Diceros bicornis minor: one gene and its partners. The protein of the gene in region 2 interacts with the protein of the main gene of each other region in a pairwise test. Links are inferred from orthologs where the notes say so. Each region holds a gene or a part of one and is shown on either strand. Other genes may lie near its edges. The genes, in order: TMEM239, COQ8A and LDAF1.

Evidence for each region.
Region 1: the proteins of COQ8A (region 2) and TMEM239 interact in binary tests that used the Homo sapiens proteins (3 or more experiments, as listed by UniProt). The two-hybrid records come from large-scale screens. The link is inferred for Diceros bicornis minor from reciprocal best matches to the Homo sapiens genes COQ8A and TMEM239.
Region 3: the proteins of COQ8A (region 2) and LDAF1 interact in binary tests that used the Homo sapiens proteins (3 or more experiments, as listed by UniProt). The two-hybrid records come from large-scale screens. The link is inferred for Diceros bicornis minor from reciprocal best matches to the Homo sapiens genes COQ8A and LDAF1.

What each region holds. Positions count from the first base shown.
Region 1 is NC_080758.1:31,321,324-31,323,396, reverse strand, and holds TMEM239 (transmembrane protein 239), read right to left. Parts: upstream 1,212-2,073; coding exon 1,144-1,211; intron 1,061-1,143; coding exon 526-1,060; downstream 1-525. Other genes in the region: C19H20orf141 (uncharacterized protein C20orf141 homolog), read right to left, coding at 1,744-1,981.
Region 2 is NC_080777.1:7,156,277-7,160,027, forward strand, and holds the start of COQ8A (atypical kinase COQ8A, mitochondrial), read right to left. Parts: upstream 2,479-3,751; 5' UTR 2,457-2,478; intron 2,451-2,456; exon of another isoform or gene 2,353-2,450; intron 1-2,352. UniProt on the Homo sapiens protein: Atypical kinase involved in the biosynthesis of coenzyme Q, also named ubiquinone, an essential lipid-soluble electron transporter for aerobic cellular respiration.
Region 3 is NC_080765.1:30,046,673-30,050,423, forward strand, and holds the start of LDAF1 (lipid droplet assembly factor 1), read left to right. Parts: upstream 1-1,214; 5' UTR 1,215-1,311; intron 1,312-3,744; 5' UTR 3,745-3,751. UniProt on the Homo sapiens protein: Plays an important role in the formation of lipid droplets (LD) which are storage organelles at the center of lipid and energy homeostasis. In association with BSCL2/seipin, defines the sites of LD formation in the endoplasmic reticulum.

The DNA of each region.
Region 1 (2,073 bases), on a different chromosome or scaffold from region 2:
TGGGGCTTCTGGCCAGCCCTCTCTCAGCTAGGTTTCAGTCAGTGGGCCTTTTCTAGAGCCTGAGGAAGTGAAAAGAAGGGGTTGGTGACAGGAATGGCAAGTAGGGGTACCCAGGTAGAAGTTCTCAATGAGTCTGAAGCTGAGACAGCAGAGCAGCTGCAAGAAAAAGATGGTGCCAGTTGCTAAGGGGGCCCCAGTGGTGTCACCACACCCATGTGGGAGCTCTTGGTGGCTTGGCCGAGCTCTTTCCCTGGCTAAGCCTTCTGCCCTGTCCCCTCTTCTCAAAGCCCTTGAGCCCCTACACCAAGTACCTGCAGCGTCAACTTGATGGAGGTGCCCAGAGGTCAGGCTAATCTACCCTGCCGGCTCCAGCAACATCACGCGTGACCCAACCAGTGCTAGAGGTTGGAGGTCTAGGGCCTGCTGAGGCAGGAAGGCCCTGGTCCCACTGCCCTCCCTCTCCCCTGGGCCTCAGGCCCTAGGCCAGGGCTCAACAGACACAGGCAGCGGGATGGGGTTGCCCTTCTATTGGTCCAAGTCCTGAGCGTAGCCTGGGTGAGACATGGAGGTGAGGAGGCCCACGAGGCTCAGCAGCGTGGAGAACAGCAGCAGGAAGGAGGCGGTGAAGAGCAGGGCGGGGAGGGCACTGAGCACCAGCAGCAGGACAGCCGGCAGCAGATGGCTCCACGCTGCAGCCACGACAGGCCACAAGGAGCTCAGCAGGTGGGAGCCAGTAGTGAAGAGAGCATGGCACAGCATCAGGGCCAGCAGCAGGTAGAGGATTCCCTCTAGACCCCACAGCACACGCTGCACTGGTTGCCGCCAACCCGATGTGGTCCACCACTGGGTCCAGCTCCGGGGCATGCGGCACATGCACCAGTGCACCCAGCCCTGCCACGTGACCCAAGCCGACCAGGGCACTGCCGGCTGTGGCCCCTCGCCGGCCCCAGTGGCATCTGTCTCCATTCGCGGCTGCTGCATCACGGCTGGTGCACCTGGGGAGAGAGCCAGGCCAGCTGCAGGAGCAATCCTGGAGATGCCTGGGTCCTCAGGGCAGGAGGGGGTGCAGGGGTCAGGAGGGCACCAGCATGGGTGGGGTGAGGCTTTGAGCTGGGGCCTGGGTCTTACCTCTGGGCAGAGCCACCTAAGTCATGTTGCTGCCTGCAGTGCCCGGGACGGCTTGGTAGCCAGAGGCAAGCCCCCACTCTCATTCGCTCCTACCCTCCCCAGAGGAGCCCCATTGTGACCCGGGCTGGGGTGGGGTCCAGCCAAGAGAAGAGCCACTCCAGAGTATGAGGCTCACCTGAGCCCCTCTCCATGGACCCTCCAGGCTGGCAGGGGAGCCTGGTAAGCCCATAGATGTAAATTCTCATGCTCTCTTTTGTGAAGCCTTCTCTGGATTCCTGTCCCTGCCCTGTTGGCTGATATCCAGTCCCACTCTGCTCTCTTGCAAGTCTTTCTGGGCACCCATTCTCTAGAGCTACAAAGGAAGCCAGAATGGCCACCCCCAAGCCACAGGCTCTGAGATGGCTACCACATCCGGCCTTGGGCTCCTTACCCCTTATCTCGCCTTCTATCCCTGCCTTCAGATTCAGACCCAGGTACCCGCTGTCCATATTGTGGGGCTGGAGGTCCCCTGAGGGTCAGGCTGGGAATAAAGGGGTACCCTCCTGCCTGCCCAGCCCAGGATGGAGGAAAGGAGGCCTGAGGAAACAGCATGGCCAGTGTATTTCAGGAGGGCACTCAGGCCCAAGGATGAAGACAGAAAGCCAGGCCAAGCAGGGCCAAGGGCATGCCATGGGCTCCCAGGAGCAGCCGCACGCCCAGGAGCAGCAATAGCAGAGCCTCCTGGAGGCTGAGTCGTCTCGTGACTGCCACTGTCGGCAGAAGTAGAGCCTCCTGCTGTCCTGGCCCCTCGCCGGCCCCGTGACTCTGGCCCCCTGTGAGAAGTGTGTGCTGTGACTGCGTGGAACCTGTGGGCCTGTGGAGAGAGATGGTGGCAGCTGGGCTTCGAGAGGTTGACCACCTGCTCGCCTGCCTACACCTGCCCACTTGCCAGGCTGCTGTCTACTT
Region 2 (3,751 bases):
CAAGGAATGCTATGGGAAAATCCTGATACGTCCCCACAGGATGGATCAACTGAAAGGGAAATTCATAGGATCCATCAACTGATGGATCAAAGAAAGGGAAATTCATGGTAGGCACTTGGCATTTTTTTCCTTGCCCTGTACACTAATCACTGTTTTTCAGCTTTTCTGCATCCCCATCAGTTTGGGACTTAGAAGTTTGAGGCATAAATTCTGGGTTATACTGAAGGCAAGATCTAGACTCAGAAGTAAAGCATCTTTCTCTGCACAAAAGAAACCTCTGTCTTTGACATCGAAGCTTTGATCAACTATAAAGGAACTCCACAAATCATACGTGCGTCCATGCTGCACCATTCATTACACTCCTGGGTAGCCTCTTTCACAGAGGAACACATGGTACATGTAAATATACCCACACGTATGTTTGAAATGCAGCCAGACACTCACTCCCTGCAGACGCAGGCCTGGCCCCCTCCCACAACACAAGACACGAGACATGTCTCAGCAAAAAGTGAGGCTGAGTAAAGCATCACCTTGGAAAAGCCACTGGTGGATAATTGAGTTGGCCTTTCTGCCAGCATTAAGAGAGCTGAAACTTGTTTGCTCACTATTTAAAACCTGTCCCACGGTTATTTCATATGCATATCCGCCACAGTCTTGCCAAGTCCCTGAAGACAGAAAACACCAGTCTTCCACTTCTTCTGCACTCTAGACGCAGCCAGTGAGTGCCATGCATCCAGCAGGCACAGTAAACACCATGGCCTTCTACCTCCTCTCTGTCTCCTCTCCTCCCAGCTGCAGAGGTGGGGTCTCCTTTAAAGCCCAATTTACATGGATTCTAACGTCGGTGTAGGGCAGGGGACACAACACTACTCTGTGCCTAACCTCTCAACTCCTCACGGGCAGCTCCCAGGAGGCCCCTGGCAGCGTGGGAAGGCTCTTTTTAGAGTCCTACCTCTGTGGTTCTCAACCAAGGGCGATTTTGCCCTCTAGGAGACATCTGGCAATGTCTGGAGACATTTTTGGGGATCACAACTAGTGTGTGTGAGGTGGGGTACTACTAGCATTAATGGATAGAGGCCAGGGATGCTGCTACACATCCTACAACGCACAGGTCAGCCCCCTCCACCCAAACAAGGAATTATCCAGTACAAATGTCAACAGTTGGGAGACCTGTCTTAGGTGACGCTCAGGGAAGTGCTCAGACCACCTGGTTCACTTTTTGTTAGCTGCCTGAAGTCAGGCCAAAAATTATAACAACCTGCACTGTCCTCATTATCTGTAAGGCTGAACAAAATGCCCAAAGCCGTCGCCAGAGTCTTAAAGATGCTGCTCCCCTGACCCACCACTTTCCCTTTGTCTCTTCTCAGGAGAAAGGCCCTCCTGCCAGGATGCCCCGCCCTTCTACAGCATGACAACTGGCAGGCTGGCATCAATGCATACTCAAATCCTTTGGCAAAGAGATAGGCCTGGCACATCCAGCTCTTCAGTCTTCTGTCACGCACACCCAAGACCCAAGAGCCCGTGGACAAGTTTTCCAGCAGGCGGCAGGCCCACCCCAGGCTGAGAGGCTGCACATAAGTCTCTCACCCTTCAGGAGGCTGGCATCTCTCATCCAAACGGAGAGTCCCAGCACCCAGACCTGCCCCCGCAGCCTTCCCCATTCCCCAAGCCACATGGGAGAACTGGTCTGGGTTTGGCAGAGGAGGTGGAGGCCGGGAAAAGGCACACGTTTATGCAATTAAGCACAGACCACTCAAAAGACCCCCAGCGTTTGGAGAAGCAGAAGGAAGGGCCAAAGAAAAGCAAACAGAGGAAAGGACCAAGAAGGGTCCCCCTTTCCCAAGTTCACCCAAAACGCCCACCTGTGAAACCCAACAGCTGGCTCGGGCCAAAAGGAATCAAAGCTCTGACACAAACCTGCAGCCACGGGCCATTAAGGCCCTTGAGACACGCTGCAAAGGGGTCTGGGAGTGAGGAGAAATATTATCATGAGAACGCGAGGCAGGAAAGCTGTATTGGCGACCCAGAGGCACGGCAACTGGCGGCCGGTCACCGGGGCTGCTCGGCGCGGTCCAGCGCCCCCCTGCTCCAGCACGCGGCCCTCGTCCCCTCCCCGAGGCAGGCCCGGCGGGCTGGGTGGGCACGGGGGTACGAGGCAGCTGCTGGGCCCCCACCCTGCAGCCTGAGGCGCGCCCAGCGCGCCACGACCCGGAGCTCGCGGCAAGTGAAACTGGCAAAAGGGAAGCCGCGCTGTCACCGGAGGAGGATGCAAGAAGGGCCCAGGCGGGCGGTGAGCCCAGCTCCGACTGCAGAGACACGGCGCCCCGGGCCCGCGGCGGCCGGCAGCCTTACCCGGCTGCAGGAAGCTGGGTTCCGCGGTCACCTTCGCGCCCCCTCCGCGCGCTCTGCGCAGCGCTGGCGCCCGGCACGCGCTCCCGATGTGTTTACCAACTCACCCGCGCCCGGAGACCCAGCGCCCGCGGCCCCGCCCCGCCGGCCGCTCCCATTGGCTGCGCCGCCGTCGCCGGCCGAGCGCCGCGCGCCGCGGGAGAGCGTCTTCGGCCCGTGCGCTCGGTCGGCGGCCAATCGGGAGCGAGGGCGGAGCGAGGGGAGCCAATGGGAGGCCGCCTCAGCGCGCAGGACCCCTCCCCCTTCTCCCTTCCCCGTTGCCCTTTCGCCTACTTGGGGAGCCCGGGCTGAAAGCCCGGCTGTGGCGTTGGTGGCCGGGTGCGCGTGCGCCCCGAGAACAGGCCGTTCCCCGTCACCTCCCTGCCGGTGCTCGCCCGGCCTCCGAGCGGGCCCGGAGGGGAGGCAGTGGAAGGGGACGGGACTCAGGAGGGTGTCCGCGCCGTGCCCCGCCTTCTGGAACGAGGGCCCCGCTCCCCGTTTCCCCAGACGGCGCTCGCGGGGGCCCGGCTGACTGCGTTTCCAGCCCCGGCGTCCGGGCCCGCCTGCTGGTCCCGCTTTCTCCTCAGGCTAACCTTGGTGGCTTTGCGGGGGCGCCATCCCCAAACAGGAAGACCCCGGGCCCGTGGCTCCGGAGCCTGTGCCGCCCGCGCCCCCCGCTCGGGGCGCCCGAGGAGGTGGCCCTCGGGCCGGGCAGCTCCCGCTCGGCCGGAACCCCAGTCGTTGTCCCCGCCCTGGAGTCTCCCCGGGGGTCCAGCCTTGCTCTGAGCAGCCGGGGACAGGCCCCCACGTGCCAGCAGCGGCCCCGGGTGTCAGCCGGCCGGCTCCCGAGTGGGTGCGAGCTAACGCCTCGCCCGCCAACGGGTCTGCCCCAAGTCGCCGCTGTCATCCACCAGAGTTCAGATCTGAGCCCAGATCTGTGCGACAAGTTCCCCTCGAGTGATTCCCGAACACCGGTCCGCAGCTCTGTCCCGGGCTGTTAGTGAGTCTTGTGGGGGAAAGGAAAAATAATGAACAATTTAGTGAGTTTTTCGTAAAACTAAATATTCAAGCCAAGGGATTGTCCTTTATTCTATTTTTTTGGAATTAACATTTAACTTTGTGGAAACTTGTTTAATATTAGTTCTTAGAAAATTAAAAGCCCTTCTATGTTGATGCCTAAAATGGGGAGAGGGAGTATTTATTATAATAAAATCCAGAAGTGAACCTACTTCACAGTGCCTCGTTGACTCCTTGGAGCCTGGCATCCCAGAGGTATGACCTGGGTTTATCCAGCCTGTTCCCCAAAGAACAGAATTCTAAGTGTGTGCGATGTGGGTAAAGGCAGCTGTGAGCTCTGCAAGCC
Region 3 (3,751 bases), on a different chromosome or scaffold from region 2:
ATGCCCGGGTGTATCATTTTACAGATGAAGCCCAGGCTCAGAGAGGTAACTCATCCAAGGTCACACAGAAAGAGTCTGTTCTGGGACCAGAGCCCAAGACTGTTGGACCCCCAGCTCAGCAGTGGTTCTCAATCGGGGACAACAGTGCCCCCCGAGGGGGCATTTGGCAATGTTTGGAGATATTTTTGGTTGTCACAATTGGGGCAAAGGGGAGCACTACTGGCATCTAGTGGGTTGAGAGCAGGGATGCTGCTAAACATCCTGCAACGCACAGGCCAGCCCCACAACTCAAAATTTTCCCGCCCAAAATGTCAAGCGCTGCCCTTGAGAAACCCTGCACGACAGGCTGGATTTGGGGCGACGGGACGTGTGTTGCAGCTCTGAATTAGAACTGAGGGACTTGGGTTTGGACTTTTTCATCTAGAAAACAGAGATACTAATCTAACTCAGCTTGAAGGAACTCGCTGCCTCCTGCATTTTTTCTTTTTTTTTTGTGAAGAAGATCAGCCCTGAGCTAACATCCATGCCAATCATCCTCTTTTTGCCAAGGAAGACAGGCCCTGAGCTAACATCTATTGCTAATGCTCCTCCTTTTTTTTTTTTTGCCCCCTTTTTCCCCCCAAAGCCCCAGTAGATAGTTGTATGTCATAGTTGCACATCCTTCTAGTTGCTGTATGTGGGATGCGGCCGCGGCATGGCCAGACAAGCGGTGCCTCAGTGCGTGCCTGGGATCCGAACTGGGGTGGCCAGCAGGGGAGCGAGTGCACTTTACGGCTAAGCCAGGGGGCTGGCCCCCGCCACGTGCATTTTTAAAGCTTCCAGTCAAGCAGGTTACCTCATCACTTGTGAGTCCTGAACTCCACAGATGCTTCCAGAAGAGTTGGTTCAGGGTATTTAGGCAGGGGAATCCCTATGACCCTGCTAAAACCCCTTCTCAGCCGCCAGTCCACCTGTCTCAGAGGTGTCCCGAGCACTCCTCTGCAAGCCAACAGTGCAAGAAGGACGTCTGAGCCTGTTTCCTCAAGGCTCCTCATTCCGGGCGTGGCTCTGAAAGGCTGAGGGAGATGCCGCTTCACAGAAGGCGCGGCGCGGCGGCTGGGCGCGCCTTCGGCGGATCCTTCCGGCCGGGGGCGGGGCGATCGAGCGGAGCGAAGCAGAGGGGCGGGGCGGCGGGCGGAGGAAGGCGGGGCGGGGAAGGGGAAGCAGGCTGCCACTGCCACTCCCGCCCCGCCGCGCGTGTCTTCCTCGTCCTGCTCCTTTTCCTCCCTCCGCTCCCCTGCAGACGCCGGTCTGCGCGCCCTCCAGCACCAGGTGAGAGCTCGCAGCTTGGGCCCGGGGGTACGGGGTGCCCCGGCGGTCTAGAGCCCCTCCCGGGCCGGGCAAATGGAGGAGCGCGGGGACGGTGGGTTGAGAGGGCAAGCGGTTTACTAATGAGGGGCGTCTCATCCCCTCGAGCCCCTGGGACGGGCTGAGAACGCGCACACACACGCATACACACACACGTGCGCACGCGCGCACACCTGCCACTAGATTTGGTAAAAGGGTTGCCAGCCCCATCCCACACCCAGACCCTGCCCCTTCTTGGGAAACCTGGTTGGGGTGTCTCCAAACCCCCCCCTCAGGATTATTGAAAACGAGTGCCTCCCCCCGGGTCCCTCTTCTCTACCGAGGACCCCCTCCCGCGTCACTGCAGAGAGGGGAGCTCCAAGCACCAAAGGTGGATTCTTTTCCCCAAATTAATGACAGGGTCGTCGACTTCCTCCAAGCTTCCATTTCTCAGTCTCGGCGTTCTCTCGGGCGCGGAGCCCCCTCTCCACCTGCATCATCCCCCTTCCCCCTCCCCTTGGATCCCAAGAAACTGGGCGCCCCCCGCCCCCTTGCGTCTTGGAAGGCTGAATGACTGGAACCATATGGGGAGCGGGAGGCTTGGGTAGGCCCGAGGCGCCCCGCAGTTCCCTTCCGCCGGCTTGAGATGCGACCCCTCCTCCTCCCAGCTGGAACGTTTGGGGTAGCCGTTTACCCCCAGGAGGGGCGGGGGTGGAAGAGCCGGAGGTGTTTTGGGGGCCGGTTGGCCGGTGATCTCTCTGTTCGGCGCGGAGAAGGCGGGGGCAGAGCAGTGGGGCGGGGGGGAACACACTGGTGGGCTGCACGGGCTTAACGGGTTGTCGCCTTCCCTCCTCCGGAGACTTCTCAGTGCCTGGGAGACACCCTCCGAGGAGTGAGTGACAAGGGGGTCTGGGGATTGGTGGCCAGGTGGGTGCATTTGACGGCTGGGGAGCGGGAGAGATGGCATTCTACCCACTCTCGCCCCCGTCGGACTCCCCAAACCGATCCGGGTGGCCCCTGGGTTTCCCAGGCCTCAGGAGACCCATAAGGGGAGCTGGGCTTGTTTCTGCCGGTTGCAGAGATGAGATTAGGGAGCTGAGTGCTGGGAACATCCCAAATTCAAGATCTGTGCCAAATGCAGCTTCATACACAGGATATGGGGTGGAGGGGTAAGTCCTCTGTTCCAAGGGGTTCTGTTTCACAAAAGGGATTGCAGCAGAGGATCTCTAGCCGGGCTGATTAAAACGTGCTTTATAATTTGTTTACTAGACTCCATGATGTTAGTAGATAACCTCCCCAACTCATAATTAGTATGTGGGATATTCAATATGGTAAATAAATGTGAGCGTCTCTCAGTTAATTTTGTCCACTGTAACAGAATCTTTTAGGCATTTGTACTACAGGTCAGGAGGTCAGTTGTAAGGAAGAAATGGAGAAGATATCTCTGTGTCCAGCCCTACAGTGGTTGTTTTGGGAAATATAAAGTAGGAACGATGTATTTGTTTATATGAAAATCCAAGAAGGGTTAAAAAAAATAGATATCTAATTTAACAAATTGCTTTTATTAAAAATAAATACTTATGTGAGATTGGGACAGTCCTGGAAATTCCAGGCTGTTGTGTCACAGAGTGTAATTGTGGCAAGCTCTGCTCCTGAGACACCTCTCTCCTTAAGGGGAAGAGAGTTACACAGAAATAAATAGAGAATGATTTATGGCACAGTGCAATTGGGAGCCAACCTGTTTAGTGTGGGTGTACGTAAGGAAATCGGCCACCATCACTGTTGTTTGAGGAAGGCTTTCTGGAAAAAACAAAAAGACAATAGGATTTAAAATAGTGTATTCAGCTTTCTTGCTTTATTCTATATTCTTTTCAGCATTTTGTCAGGCTAAAAAAATATACATAAACTCTCAGAGATAATACCATTAACGTTTTGTTGTGTGTCCTGAATCTTTTACTATAGGATATACACATAAAATATGTATGTTTATGTAACCATATGGAGTAGTTTCTAATTTTTTTTCACTTATCATGGACACATTTTCATGACACTAAGTAGCCGCATTATCATTTTAATGATTGTACAATAGTCCATTATATGAATTTATCATTATTAAACCAATTTCCTGCTAGTGGACAGTTAACTTCTTTTATTGTTTTGCTATTTATTATATATTATAAACAGGGATGCACTGCCCATCCTTTTGATACATTTTGATGTACTTGTTTGATTATTTCCTTCAGATTCCTCAAAAATAAACTGTTCGATCAAGGTGTGTGCAATTTGAGATGTTGGTAGATATTGCCAAGTTACCCTCCATTTGCCCGCCCGCCATCAGTGTGTGAGGATAGTAGAAGCTGTCGTTGGGTTAGTTGGGTGAAATCACTAATGGTTTAAGAAACTTTTTGTTTCCTCCAGTGACAGC